2 linked regions of the Lytechinus pictus genome follow. Each later gene encodes a partner of the first gene's protein in a complex. Links are inferred from orthologs where the notes say so. Each region holds a gene or a part of one and is shown on either strand. Other genes may lie near its edges. The genes, in order: major facilitator superfamily domain-containing protein 1-like and glycosylated lysosomal membrane protein B-like.

Evidence for each region.
Region 2: the proteins of major facilitator superfamily domain-containing protein 1-like (region 1) and glycosylated lysosomal membrane protein B-like are in contact, whole or in part, in a cryo-EM structure (PDB 8R8Q), measured with the Mus musculus proteins. The link is inferred for Lytechinus pictus from reciprocal best matches to the Homo sapiens genes MFSD1 and GLMP. Residues at the interface, in NP_080089.1 of Mus musculus: Val288, Glu292, Lys293, Arg295, Phe349, Phe351, Leu411, Asp412, Lys414, Gly415, Tyr416, Leu417, Leu418, Val421, Ile424, Ser428, Leu432, Val435, Leu439; in NP_064387.1 of Mus musculus: Glu250, Asn252, Ser253, Ile254, Asp255, Asp256, Glu257, Pro260, Ala261, Phe263, Gln264, Arg292, Phe364, Leu367, Val368, Ile371, Met372, Ala375, Ala378, Leu381, Met382, Gly385, Phe389.

The regions. Positions count from the first base shown.
Region 1 is NC_087260.1:28,506,805-28,514,114, reverse strand, and holds the start of major facilitator superfamily domain-containing protein 1-like, read left to right. Parts: upstream 1-4,022; 5' UTR 4,023-4,206; coding exon 4,207-4,393; intron 4,394-7,310. Other genes in the region: ribonuclease H2 subunit B-like, read right to left, coding at 80-187, 1,155-1,223, 3,538-3,616. UniProt on the Homo sapiens protein: Lysosomal dipeptide uniporter that selectively exports lysine, arginine or histidine-containing dipeptides with a net positive charge from the lysosome lumen into the cytosol.
Region 2 is NC_087249.1:14,774,832-14,782,338, reverse strand, and holds the start of glycosylated lysosomal membrane protein B-like, read left to right. Parts: upstream 1-4,222; 5' UTR 4,223-4,330; coding exon 4,331-4,417; intron 4,418-7,507. UniProt on the Homo sapiens protein: Required to protect lysosomal transporter MFSD1 from lysosomal proteolysis and for MFSD1 lysosomal localization.

The sequences.
Region 1 (7,310 bases):
CCCTTGGGCTTGAGGCTCTCAAGTTAACACCTGTAATCAATACACTTAGGATTGAATCATCATTCTTGAAATACTTCACCTTGTTGGACTGAATCATTAATGAACCATGATCCAAAGTCTCGTTTGAATCTCATCACCTCATAAACACCCGTTCCGTCACTGCTGAATAGAAACATCGCTCCATTCTCTGCAGGTGGAAAAAACATTATAAAGCCATTTCATAATCGGTGCTGAGAATGCCTAGAACTGCTTGTCCATGCTATTTTTAAGATCTTATTTGATTTTAAAAATTTTATTTATTATTATTTCATTTATATTCCACATTCACCACCATATAATACCAATATTTACATAGTACATAATAAGTACATGAAAACTGTCTATAGTAACCATCCTAGGGAAACACATATGCACTTGACTGCTATAGACAGGTTCTTAAACACAAAAATTGCCCCCAAGAAAATTTGTTTTAGAAGTCACTAAAAAAGGCAGGTGGCTGCTTTAGAGAGGTGGTCACTAATGCACTTTTGACTCACTGTATACTACCAGACAGATAATACAACAGTGAATAAGGATCTACCAAAAATCTAAGTTTGATTAATACAGACCCTTTACTTTAAATATTAAAATCAAGACAACATAAATAAACATTGTTTATCTTTAATATTAACCAATCAGACTTTAATTATTCTGGGAGAAAACTACCAAGACTAATACAAACAAGCAAGAATAATACAAAAATTCATATGAAAATAAATGGATCTCTCTGCTTGAATGGAAATATTTAACAGTTCGATGATCAGGCATAATATGGTGTAGCACCAGATGTTAAATATAAAGGCAGTGGTGCGTATATCAACTTAATGGTGCATAATGATGACCATTTCCCTATAAAATATGATTGTTTGAAGTGTTTTCCCTTATATATTCAGAATTCCCTTGTTTATTTTTGCGATTTAAAAAAAATGTTTGCTCGTAAAAGTCTGCAACAATACAAAGTCACAGAAATTCATGACAAATTTGCTCTTGACCAATGAAATTGCAGGAATTCTGCTTCATCACAGGAACTTGTCAATGAAAACATGCTTTAGGAAAGAAAAAAAAATACATGATAAATAAAAAGGTATTAAATATATACAATTTAATTTTTATACCTGTCTTAGGGTGCCTCAGCTTTACAAAAGTTGGATCTGGGCAACCATCAATACTATCAAGTGAAGATTCTGAAAGAATGGAAAGGGAAGGTAAAAAAAACACCAAATCATTAGTTTGTGTGAGAGGTTTTTCAGTATACTATCACAGCAATTTGATTATTTAAAATTAAATACATGTATGATATATCAATGAAACAGAAACATAGGGATGTCATATTGAAAATCTTGGCATTTCCAATTAGACATAAAACTACACAAAAGTAAAAACAGAAAATGGGGGCCTGTTGCATATTGAAAGTTTTTGTGTTAAGTGTCAATTGTGTAATTTTGTTTGCCAGAGTTTTTTATGGCAAAAGTTTTATGCAACAGGCCCAAGATCTTGGCTTCACGGCAAGACTACATTTAAAAAAAAAGAAGATAACTGACCACTTTGATATGTGCCTGTAATCCATTAAAAATTGACAGATTTGAGCTCTGGTCGGGTCTTTCAGATGGTGACGTTAAATGTTGTTCCCAGACTTAAATTATCCTATCAGATTGATTGATACATGTACAGCCAATATGGGAGACTCCAATGTGGGAGATAATCTCCCATATTAGAGACTTGCTTTGCAAAAGAACAAAAGAAACAACACCAACAAAAGCATAATTTTTTCCACCCAAAATTTTGTCTCACTAAGGTCAGAAGCCCATTTGTTTTGTGTGTGGATGACAACAAAAATCCTTATCAAAACAAAAGTAGACGGTGAAAAGAGGTAATTTTTCATGAGGAATCTGCTTATCACATTTTTATTTGCCGCCAAGGAAATCCTTTTGAAGCAAATGTAAACAAAGGAAATTGGTCTCCCAAACTGGAGACTGTCTCTGAAAATGGATAGCCCAATTCTTTACAAAAGTCTCTGATATTGGAGATAATCTCTCTCTCGGGAGACAGTCTCCAATATTGGCCATGTGCCTCTAGTGATGTATGGTAGTGGATTGTATTACCAGACACTTTTCATGAATTTAATCATATCAAATATATTATTCTCATAAAATTCACCAAACTTTTACCATAAATACAAAAATACCTACAAAATATAAACCTGTAAAAATTTTGCCGAAATCATTGTTATTTTTTACAATATCAGCTTCCCATCGGACCCCTCTTCGCATGTGAAATATTTTGGTCACTTGAAAATGGTATCGCATTACCGAAAGTGTGTTTTCTATGAGAACTTTGATAAAACAACAAAAGCACTGATGGGCTATTCTGAGAATATAGAGACTTTAAAAATGCATTTTTGACCATTTTTCATCATTTTAAAAATTCAAGTTCCCTTTGGAAAGATGTCGCAAAGTTTTAAGCGTTTGAAATTATTTTCAGATGCATATGATGCGCGTGTTTTTTTAATTAGATTCTACAGTGTATTTCCTTTTGTATACCCAGTCTCCAATAATGGGAGATATTTCCTGAATTGGAGACTTCTTTTTCTTCTCCCCCATCCGACCTCACTTTCTTCTGCACCAAGCGTCTTCTACTCACTAGTCTAGGCCTAGATCTATGGAAAGTTCCCCCCAGTCTGCGCAGTCCCCCTTGTCTGCGCACATGCGTATCTGCGCGATTCTAGTAAAAGAAGATACGCAAAGAACACAGACTTTACCCATGCAATACATAGACAGATATTCATTAAAAAATCTGACTCAAAATGGTGGAAAAATAATGAAGTTTGGGCATTTCATGTGACGGCCTCAAAATGCAGCCTTTCTCATCAAATTCCCCGAATCGTGTGCAAAGTGAATGGGTGCCAAGACATGGGGTACCATTTTCAATCTGAAAATGACAGCCTGAGGTTTTTTTCCAAGAAAATCCTATATTTCTTTCAAATTTTTATGAGATATTTGGTACACTTAATATTATAAGGAACATTATTAACTGAAAGATTTTGTGAAAGAAAAAGTAATTCATGTTAAATCTTAACTCAAATTGTTAGGTGCGAAGACTTGAAGGCCACCATTATACTATTCATTTTCCAGAATTCCTCCCTTAAAAAAAAAAAAGTCAAACAAAGTCAAAACAATGACTGACGTCAGATTGAGAATGACAATGACTGAATGAGTGAATGACATTGACAATGTTTTCTTCAGTAATATGCATGACTCTCCACCTCCTAGACCTAGTCTGTCAATGACAATGTTTTACTCTCGTCTCCTCCCTCTTTCTCCTTCTTTTTCTTCTCTTCCCTCCTTTTGTCTTCGTCATCATCGGCTTCAGCTTCGCGTCGACGTCAGGATCATTCAGAAACTCTTTTAGTCAGTGTCATGACACAATTACAAGCATGTGGGACTAAGCATCATGAAATTATCTGATTATGACAGAACAAAGTTGAAATTTCACTCTTACCTGGAGTAATACACACCCACTGATCCCTATCACATTTGGTACTCCCCTTTCCTTTCTGTTTCTTTGACTTTGGTGCCATGATTTATTAATCTAACCTTAACTGAGATTTATTTCTGCAAAAAGAACTAACTTTTTCAAGTTTTTGTCAACTCCTCGTTCGCGATCGCGGGTCGAGCAAATGTGGCGCGCCGTTTCTAACTTTTCGTTGAACCTCAATTCCAGGTTAATGATTGGATTTCAAATAAAAGTTTTAGTCATGTCATCAATCGTTGTTGAATTTCCAAAGTTACGAGAGCTGTTAAAAATAAAAATCACAAGATTTTATGAATGCCAGGGACTGCATTATAATTTGTATTTACGGAATAGGATTATATAACAAAGAATGATATGAATACATTTGTTTCTATTACTTTCCAAAGTTAGCATAGATAACCCCAATATTGCTGAAAATATATTGTCACGGTTGTTATTTCACGTGACGACCCCTCGCCTCGGCTGCTTTTGTGGTATATCTTTGCATTTGTGTCCAATTTGCATTAAGCTATGAGCCGACTCGACTGATGTTGTGAAGTTTGAAGATGCTATCCGCGGCTAGCTGAAAAGGAAACTCAAAACTTTTGACTTTTGTCCACTAATAAACTAAAAATCTTCGTTCAGGATCAAGTAAGGATGGAAAACAACGATCAGAATCATGATGAAAATGCACCGCTGCTGAGTGGACGACCGGACAGGAATCAAATTCAGGATGATGATGAGGATGTGGAACTCTCAGGCTGTGGAGCCACAGTTTGTTGTGATCCGAGACGGGCCCTGCATAGATACCTCATTCTTATTTTTATTTGTTTCTTAAGTTTTGGTAAGGATAGACTGAGGCAATATATCTTTATCTTCATTCTAGGGTGACTGTCATTAAAATGAGCTGAGAAAGTCTTAACTGATATTCCGTCAACTTACATTGTAGTTTAAGTTTAACGTTGTTTTTTTTTAAAGAAGTTAAGGAGCTAATTATTAGAGCCTGGTGCTGGACTCTGCTGGAGTTGGAGAGTAAAACTAAACAATTCTCTAGACTAAGCCTAAGGTGAGGTTAGCCTACTCTCCAACTCTAAGAGTTGCCTGGCACTGCACTGTTTGTGTCAATGGCACATTAAAAAAATAATTGCATGTAGACTTGTACTTGTAGTCGATCTTAAACAAGGTTTGGAAAACCATTTCCTGCATCCTGCCTCCACTCTATATAGAATGGATAAAATCATGAAAAATAATACTTGGAAAAAAAACAGTAATGTTTTGACAAAATGATTATCGTCAAATCCTATGATTTTTTAAAGGAACTATATTTATAAGAAAAATCACTTATGGTTTTAAAACGCAACTGTTGTCATAGAAAATTCCAATCACCGTCCAGACAATTGAAAACCTTTCTTTAGCCTAGGACTAGGAGTTGGTGAGTGATCAGACCATTGACATGACAAAAACATTCCAATTTTTAACATCAAAATGCATTTTTTATCTGAATAATGATGGGTAAAGAAAGATTGATTGATTCAGCTTAGGCCTATATTTTGGATTGAGTCATAAAGTTTTCGAACTTATCCAAGCTAGGAAGACAACAAGCTAGGAAGACAACAAGATAGGAAGACAACAAGATAGACCTGGAAACTTGACTGCAGGAACAACTGTATTTTTCCAGTAGATGCGGTATAAAGGTATAAAGGTATAAACATGCATAAGAAACAGCTGAGCAAAAACATGCTAACTAAAAGAAGTATATAGCGGCAGCGATTGCATGAATGGCCTGCACGTCTATAGCCTCTTTGAGGTGTTCAAGTGCAGTATTTACAAGACAAGACAACATGTTCATGTGTTGGGTAATAAATGTTGGTTCGTCACCATTTTTGTGAATTGATCCCAGAGGCCAGAATTGACCTTTGAATTGATGAAAGGATTTTAGTTGACATTTTTTTAATCTTACAAATTTCCAAGTCTTAATTCTCTCAATTTCTTAGGTATTGTGAATGTGGTATCAAAAATTTAATTCATTCACATCACAAATCTCTTCATTCATGTTTTTAATAGAAAAGCTGCATATTTGGTCTATATAAGAATATTTTTGTCCACTAAAACTATTGTAAGGTTGAGAAAATTATATGTTTGGAGGTAGAAAATAAATGAAGTTCTAAATCAAACTCAATCAATCATGCTGAAGGGGGAATAAGTGAAACAGACGCAAAATGAAGAGAACTTAAACCGAAGGAGTCTGGTTGTACACTTTTTAATATCTGGGCTATTTTGCCTCAGCTTAACTTTGGATCACAGAATAATTTACATAAATATTTAAATTAGAAATAGCAACCAATCAAACTAAAGAAAATGGAAGGATCGAACTAAAATGTAAGAACCCAATTCATAAGATAAACCAATAAGGAATGAGATGAGATGACAAAGATGTCTGGTGATTATGTAATAATGGAAGTAGAAACTAAGGAGTCAGGTGAGGGATGGAATGAGTGGAACACCTGAAGAGAGAATAGAGAAGGAATGAAGATGACAAGAGAAACACAGGAAAGGCATTCAGAGTAGAATGAATGAATGACAACTGAATATCATTAAACTCAAATAACCTAAGTCCAGACTGCAAGGGCAGTACTGAAAAGAAATGCAAATGAACTAAAGTCTAGACAGAACAGAAATGTAAAACACCTGAAGAAAACACAAGTCAAAGGAAATAAACAAAATAGGTAAATGACAAATTAACAATCCTACATAAACTTTCTCCTTCCAAAAAATTGTCCTCAATTTTCAAAAAGTAAAATTATATATAAAATAAAGCTGCAAAACCAGAATTTGACAAGTTGAACATCTAACATTATTTACATAAAAGAATTTAAAAAGAAGTAACGTAACCATGACATAATTCAATTTTATAATAAATGTGAAGACCAGGAGAGGATGGAAAAATAAAAAAAAAATATATATATTTTATCAGAATTTTGAACTTTTCCTTTTTGGCATCATATGAGTAACTTCAGTGGAAAATGAACATGCAAATAATTTCAATGTATATCTTATACTTGCATGCCATGAAATTAAATACCGTATCAATTAGAAAAAAACAAAAAACTGAAAATTTTTGTCTTGATTTCCGAAAAGAAAAAAAAATGTTATAATCTTGAATATATATATACATTTTTTTCAAATTATTAAAGATTTGTTTTTGTTAAATTTATGCATGTCTTGCCAACTGGAAAAATGTATCTCCTGGACTTACAAAAAAAATGAAAAACTTATGAGAGCACCACTAGACAAATAGATAAAAACAATTATGGTAGCTCAAAGGAATATTGAACATTGAAAAGTGCAAGACAAAATACTACTGAACTTTACAAAAATTTAACATATGACGTTCAGCAAATAACTTAATTACCAGAAATTATGAAAAATCAAACATTTGAATTTATATAAAGCCATATTTTCTGAAATTATATGACAAAGTATATCTGTGAAAATCTTTGACTTTACTTTAAAAAAGACATTAAACTAGGGGTATCAAAAATCTAGGAATTTTAACTGAATGTTGGAAAAAGAAATTACTGAGTAATACAAATAAAAAAGACTTATTTTGTATAATTTGTAAAATTACAATGATGAAACTTCAATAGTAAAAAATAAGAAATGATTTAAATTGAACATTGAACTAAGTCTGACTTTGTGCAATATAATTGATAAAACTTTAATAAATATACAGTGATTAAAATTGAAATAGTTTTGAGCAT
Region 2 (7,507 bases), on another chromosome or scaffold:
AGGTTTTTTCTCTTTGTTCTTTCGTTTGCTGGATTTCTATTTCATTTTTTAGTTGTTTTTTCCTTCTCCATTTTTTCTATTTTCCCCTCATTTTTACCATGACACAAAGCAGGACACAAATAAATTAAGCCCGATTTCATCCAAATCTCTAAAACTGAATAAACCATAATTCTTATCTTTATTATTCTGAACCAAAAACTTTATTACAATCCTAACTATAACTCTATGCCCACTAAGTACCCTGACGAGTCACAACTCATGCAGGGGACGTACGTACCCCTGCCCCCTGACGAGTCACAACTGATCCAGGGGACGTTCCCCCCCCCCCCTTTGAGAAGCAAAATTAATAATTTGTAATGTAAATATGCAAAGAAAACCGACGTGTGCGCCCTCTTTTGAACTTAAAGACTTTTTTTTTTTTTTTTGCTTGTCAATTTTTTTTCTGGTACGAAATCCTGTATTTGTGGTTGATCAAGCTGCTGCAAACAGTGACTATAATAGCTCATTATTTTACCATGCTGTACTGTACTAAAGGCTTGCAGTTCTCCAGTGAACGGAGGAATTCAACAGAAGAAGAAGAAGGTAGAAGACCTTTTTTTTTTTTGCTTGTCAATTTTTTTCGCGGACGAAATATCCTCCACAAACTTTGCCCCCCTTTCAATTCTGGGTACGCCGCTGCCTATGCCGTATATGTAAAGACCGGAGTAATTGTAGCAGGAGCAAATGTCGTGTCACCGATATGCTCTCTATCTCTTCCTCTATCTTTTGTTTATTCATTATCATAATTCTTCTCTCTCCTGGAGAACTTTCTGATACCTGATTAAAGACAGGAGCCGTTTGATATATTAAATAATGATAGTAATTTCACCGATGGATGTTTCTTTTTTCCCTTTTGTTCCGTTTATTTATAATTATTTTCTTCGAAAATTATCTTGGCGCGTCGTTTTCTAGTGGTCTTACCTTTCAAACACAATGGTCGTGGTTTCCTTTAGCAAGAAAAGTATCTACTCAGTGCTGCTTTCTACACAGGGGAGGTGAATGGGTGTCTGACATAATTATTAATTCACTGAAGGCGCTTGTTGAAAAGGATGATACTCGGTCTAAAACCTGTGTTTTAGCACATTCTTTGCATCCTCATGCAGGCAAAAGGCGCTACAAATGCAGATATTGATATTATTATGATTATAATACAGCTACAATTATTAATGCAATCGTTTTCATTTGGATAGACTATACTCTGATTGGGAGTAGATCATTTATTAATACACTTTTGGTGGATCTGGATGTATACGACTCAGGACCAAAATCCAGTTGAAACCAATTAGAGCAAAACCACTTGAAACCAACTGGTTTCAATAAATTGGAACAACTGGTTCCAACTGGAACCAGTTGGCAATTGGTTTCAATTGGTTCCAGTTGAAACAAATTAGGCAACTGCCCCTCAGTTGGTTCCAGTAATTGTTCCAATTTTCTTATTAAAACCAGTTGAATCTAATTGGAGGCAACTGGTTTCAATTGGTTCCAGGGGGTTCCAGTTAAAACCAATTGGAAGCAACTGGTTTCAATTGGTTTGCTGGAACCAGTTGGAACTTCCAGTTGGAATTGACTTAATTAGTTACAAATTAATTAGAATTTGTACTAACTATAGCCCATGCCAACACAGAAGCATTGTTATATCATTCTATTAATACCAATGTAAAGGGCATTGATAAAATTTAGACTTTCATACATATATATTTGTGTGGAGGAGCTTCGAATATATGTATTTGTATTTGGTGTAATTTGGTAACAGTTAGTGATGTATTAATTATATTTTAATCTGTTAAAAATTGTAATATATAATATTTATGAACATGGTTTTCACGTACTGCTAACTCTTCTAAACAAGTTTATCTTAAACAAGTGAGGCACTTGAGAAAGAAAAGAAATGAATTTATACATTGTAAATGATGATGAATCACATAAAACATTACTTTGTACACATTGGCAGATAATATGCAAATTAACTAGTTTCAATTGGATCCAGTTGGATAACCGGAAAATTTTCAAATTGAAAACCAATTGGAAGTCATTTCCAGTTACCCAACTGGTTCCAGTTAGGATTTCCAGTTATCCAACTCAGTGGTTCCGATTGGAAGTCATATCCAGTTACCAACTTTCCAGTTAGAAGTCATTTCCAGTTACCCAACTGCATGGTTCCAGTTAGGATTTCCAGTTACCCAACTGGTTCCATGCAGTTAGAAGTCAATTTCATGCAGTTGATCATTTCCAGCTAGTGCAACTGCAGTTAGGATTTCCAGGGCCGTAACTATTTCCAGTATTTCCAGTTGGAAGACATTTCCAGTTACTCAACTGGTTCCAGTTAGGATATCCAGTTGCCCAACTGGTTACAATTGGAAATTGTTACATTCCAGTTAAGACCAATTGAAACCAGTTGAAACCTATTGAAACCAGTTGGAAATCCAACTGGTTTCAATGAGGGCCCTCCTGGGCATAAACACATCGGGTACTTGACCTGGATTTTGCCGGCCGGGACCACTGAACAAGAAATATTATTATTAGTATTTCTAGTTCAGTCCCACTGGGCATTTTACCTGACATTACCCGGGTTGTAACAGGTAATAACATGGATATTACTACGGTAACAACAGTGGGTAATAACAGGGAAATAGTAGACCAATCCTTCCCTCTTATTACCTGGACCTGATATTACTCCATTTACCCAATATTTCTCAGTATGATGTAACTACTATTTCCAGCATTTTAATGATATCACCACCTCATATTACTCTGTTTACCCAATATTACCCAATTAATGTCGGCTCATTAAAAAAACGATTAGTGTCATTAGGGTCATTGAAGCACATTTTTACAACTCCATACTCTAAGCCATATCATCTTATCCTATCCTAAAATCCTACATCCTAATCCTAATCCTATCCTACACCTATCCACCAAACCCTCTCATTTACTTCTATATATTGAGCGAGTTTACAACACTTGACAAATTATGGTTAACAATTATTCAACCCTAAAACATTTTTCTAAAATTAATGTCATGATTATGACTAATATGATATATAAACTACACATTTTTCTGAAAATTTTCTGGGTGGAATAATTGCATAAACATAAACACATTAATTATTACAGCTATATTAGCTAAAATTTTGGCCATTTATTGTAGTAATGAATATTCATGAGTAACTAATATTCCCAGCATTTTCCTGATATTACCATCTGATATTACTCCATTTACCCAATATTAATGGGTTCCGCATGGGTTGGAGGTCTCGTTTCCATCTGAGTCCTATCTGGGCACCATGTGGGTTCAAGTATATGTTTTCATCTCGGGTTCCATGTGGGCCCATATGGGACCCAGATATCCCAGATAAGAACTGTATGTGATCCAGATACTTTGCTGTCTGGGAATGGAAGCGTTTCAACATTACCCATTACCCCTTATCAACCTGTTTGTAACTGGGTAAAATGTTGGTTTCATCAGGGTGATAACAGTAATTTTTTGGACTTTGAAAATTTCGCCGGGATTGCTGTAAGATTGCTCTTATTACTAAAGTTTGCAATGTTATAACCAATCAAAGTCATTCAACATTACCCTTATTACCCCTCATCACCCTGTTGTAACTAGGTAAATGTAGGTTTCATCAGGGTGATAACAGTAACAGGTATCAACAGGAATTATAATTTCGGTAATAACATGGTAATAACGGTAATATTTGGTGTTACTCAAATTTCCGGGTGATATTACCGGTAATAACCGGTAAAATTGGTAATCGGTAACAAATTGCCCAGTGGGGTGGCTGGGACCGGTGATCTAGCATGTCTTTGTGAATTCGGATATGAATGGAAAAAAAAAAACAATTGAGAAATAGGATAGGCCTTTGCAAATTAAAATGTGCGGTTTCATTGCATAACATTCGTGCTTTCTTAGCAGTCAGGTAAAAAACCTCGATATAACATATAATCCTCATTACCAGGTCCCTCGGAGAGGACCTTAAGCCGTTGGTCCCCTGGTTGCTTGCTCACAGGCATTCGTGTTTTCTTAGCAGTCAGGTAAAACAACCTCGGTATAACATAACATAACATAACAACATAACATAACATAACATTATCATTGTTATTAAAATCAATCGTGAAATCGGCCTACGTCAATCGCAAAGTTTTGTGTTACCGATACGGAGGTCACGTTACTTGATCAAATATCACATGATCATTAGTCTAGCGGAAATCATATCGGCTCAGCGCAGTCAGTGAAAAATGAAAGGAGACGAGGCCGAGCGAGGGGCAAGTATCAAGAATTATCTCCAAAATGACTGCAACTGCATTTATGTTCAGATGTTTGTTCCTTATTTCTACTATCACAGTTGGTGTAAAATGTGATGATCAGATTAGAAATGTAAGTGGATGTACTGTTATTTAGCAGCTAGCTGAGCACCCGTTTTGAATCAAATTTTCCCCGCACATCACACAGCCAGGCCAAGCAGCGGGCCAGGGCGAGAAGTGCATCGGTGAGATGCGGCGATAGATGTTCGTAGCCGTAGGGGCCCGCCGAAAATGAAGTCAGTGTTTATAATTATATGTGACTGAGCTGTGTCGAGAGAAGAGTCACGGCTTTTCAAAAAAAAAAAAAAACGTTTGTATTGCAAGTAAATATCGAATCTCTTTGTTCCATTTGTTGTTTGATGTTTCTATGTTACTTAGAAATTAATCACCGAATGTCATAATTGGGGTTTGTTGTCTGTTTTTTTTGTTTTGTTTTGTTAATGTTGTGTGTGTGGACATGTCTTGAGGACTCTGTGTGATCATATTTTTATGATTTTGATATTGTCATTTGATCACGAAGCCTTGAACCTCCTCCCATATTATAAGAGACACATGTAAACAAAGATGGATTTCCCTAGGAAATCCATCTTTGAAGATAGAAATCATTTGTGTGATTTTACTTATTTATATTTTATCATGTTTATCAGTAGAGGCGCACGGCCAATATGGGAGACTCTTCAATAGGGGAGACAATCTCCCATATTGGAGACTCGAAAGAAACAACACCAACAAAAGCGTTATTTTTTCCACCCAAAATTTTGTCTCACTAGGGCCGTCTGCACCATCCCGAGTTTTCAAATTAGCGCGCTATTTCTGATCCGGCAAATTATCCCGATCTGAAAAATCTCGAGATAGTTTGCGGTGGAGACGCAATTATCGCGCTAGTTCGTAGGATTAATCTCGAGATTGCAATCCCAAGTCAACTCGGGTTTATTTGCAAAATAGCGCGCTATTTTACGAATTATCTTGCTAATTCGTCGGTGCAGACGCACTCGAGATTGGACTCGGGGTAATTTATTCATGACGTCAGTCCGTAATGCAATTCGCGTTCCACTTCCGCCTTGGTCAAAACATAAACACGTGCGAAAGTCAACTTTATACATGCGAATAGATATTATCGCGAATAGCGTTCATCAATTGCCTAATCAGCAACGATGGTGTCCCACCAGTGAATGGATTTTGGGAGAGACCAGACCGAAGGGGGAGGCGCTCATCGACGATGGTCATATTCAATAACAACACTGACAGCAGTGTTGTCTTATTCTTTCGCAAAATGTGAGCAAATAGCATTTCTTTCCTCCTTCTCTCCCTCTCTCTCTCTCTGTCGTTGCCTCCTACTCCGCCATCATATTTAACGAAGAATACATCACTTCTTCACTCGCTGAGCTGAGAGGATTGTTGCATAACACCGGTCGAATTCGGCGAAAGTGCTAGTGAAAGGAGTACATTGCTTGCATATCGCGGGAAGTTATTCAAAAGCGCGGGCCGTTGAAACTCCAAGATCCGAAAGTGCGCATGCTCGTAATATCGGTCTTGTTGCCTCGCTCGAGCAGGGATCGCTCTTCTTGCGATGGTGGAGACGGGGTTTCTTGAATCTCGAGATTAATCGCGAAGTGGACCGAGCGGGCTAAAATCTCGAGATTGAGCAAACTCGGGATGGTGCAGCACCGCCTACTTAGGTCAGAAGCCCATTTGTTTTGTGTGTGGATGACAACAAAAATCCTTATCAAAACAAAAGTAGGCGGTGAAAAAGGGTAATTTTTCATATCTGCCAATCACACCTTTTGCAGCAAATGTAAACAAAGGATATTGGTCTCCCAAACTGGAGACTGTCTCTGAAATTGGATACCCAAATTATTTACAAAAGTCTCTGATATTAGAGATAATCTCTCTCTTGGGAGACAGTCTCCCATATTGGCTGTGCGCCTCTACTGTTTATACACCTTCATACGCCTAATGCGTAAGAAGGTGCATAAAAATGTGTTAATAAAAAGGTGAAAAATTTGAGTTTTCTTACCAGACCGATCTCGTGTAGATCCCTCGATCCATTTGTACACAACGCAAATACAATGGGCTTGAACTGCTTATGTATGACGTACAGGTCTTCGATTAACGATGTTACAAAATGCCGTTTTGAAGAACAATTTATAGATAAAAATTATTATTTAACAAATAATGAAATTTGGAACTTGATGCAAAATAATTATTATAATAATGGATCATTGCATTGGATGCAGTGAGTGATTTAAGGTTAGAAAGTAATCAGAATCCAACGCACTCACACTAATGCGAGTTTTGTATACAGACGGACCTCGCACGTACGTGTATGCAATGTTCTTCAATGGGCGTGAATTTTCAAACACTGAAACAGTTAGCAACTAGCATTAGCAAACATTGCCTCGTAACATAACAGATGTAATGTTTTCTGCAATTCCGAATATCGGTCTTAAAGATCCAGACCGGACCCGAAAATGAAATTGATAAATTATATACCAATCGAAAGCTTATAAGCTACTAAATGCACCAAGGTATGCTTTATGCATTTTCACCGCTTCCCAGCTGAGTATTTTGCTTAATTAAGAATATTCCAATTATCGGGTTTCGAACCCCGCTTAGAAAATAGGCTTTATTGTCCTTTTCACCTGCCTCGAGACCGTGACGTCACGTTGTGTAAGAAGCGTCGTGATTCCATAGGTTTGTACACAAAAAACTGGGTGATTTTTTTGCTTTCCAGATAATGCATTTCATTCTCTTCACTTCTATCACAGAGGGATATTACATATATTTTTACCCACAAGCTTGAATTTATGAAATCTGCAGTTTTGAACTAGTTTTTGCCATATTTTATTTCCTGCTTATAAATTTGGCGCAGATTTCAATTCTATCTGCATTTAGATTATGTATAACAACTTTTCCTGACATAGCAATTTAGGCCCAATAAGAGCCAAACAAAGAAATCACAAAAAAGGTAGTGAATAGTTGTAGGTTTACAACAATTTGAACAGTGAATAATTTTGAGTGCCATTTTCATCTGAAAGCAAAAAAAAAATGGATTCATAACATGGAAATAGAAGAAAATACCCAATGCTTTTGTACACAAACCTATGGAATCACAACCCTCCTGACACAACGTGACGTCATCATTTCCAGGCGACGTGGGGGT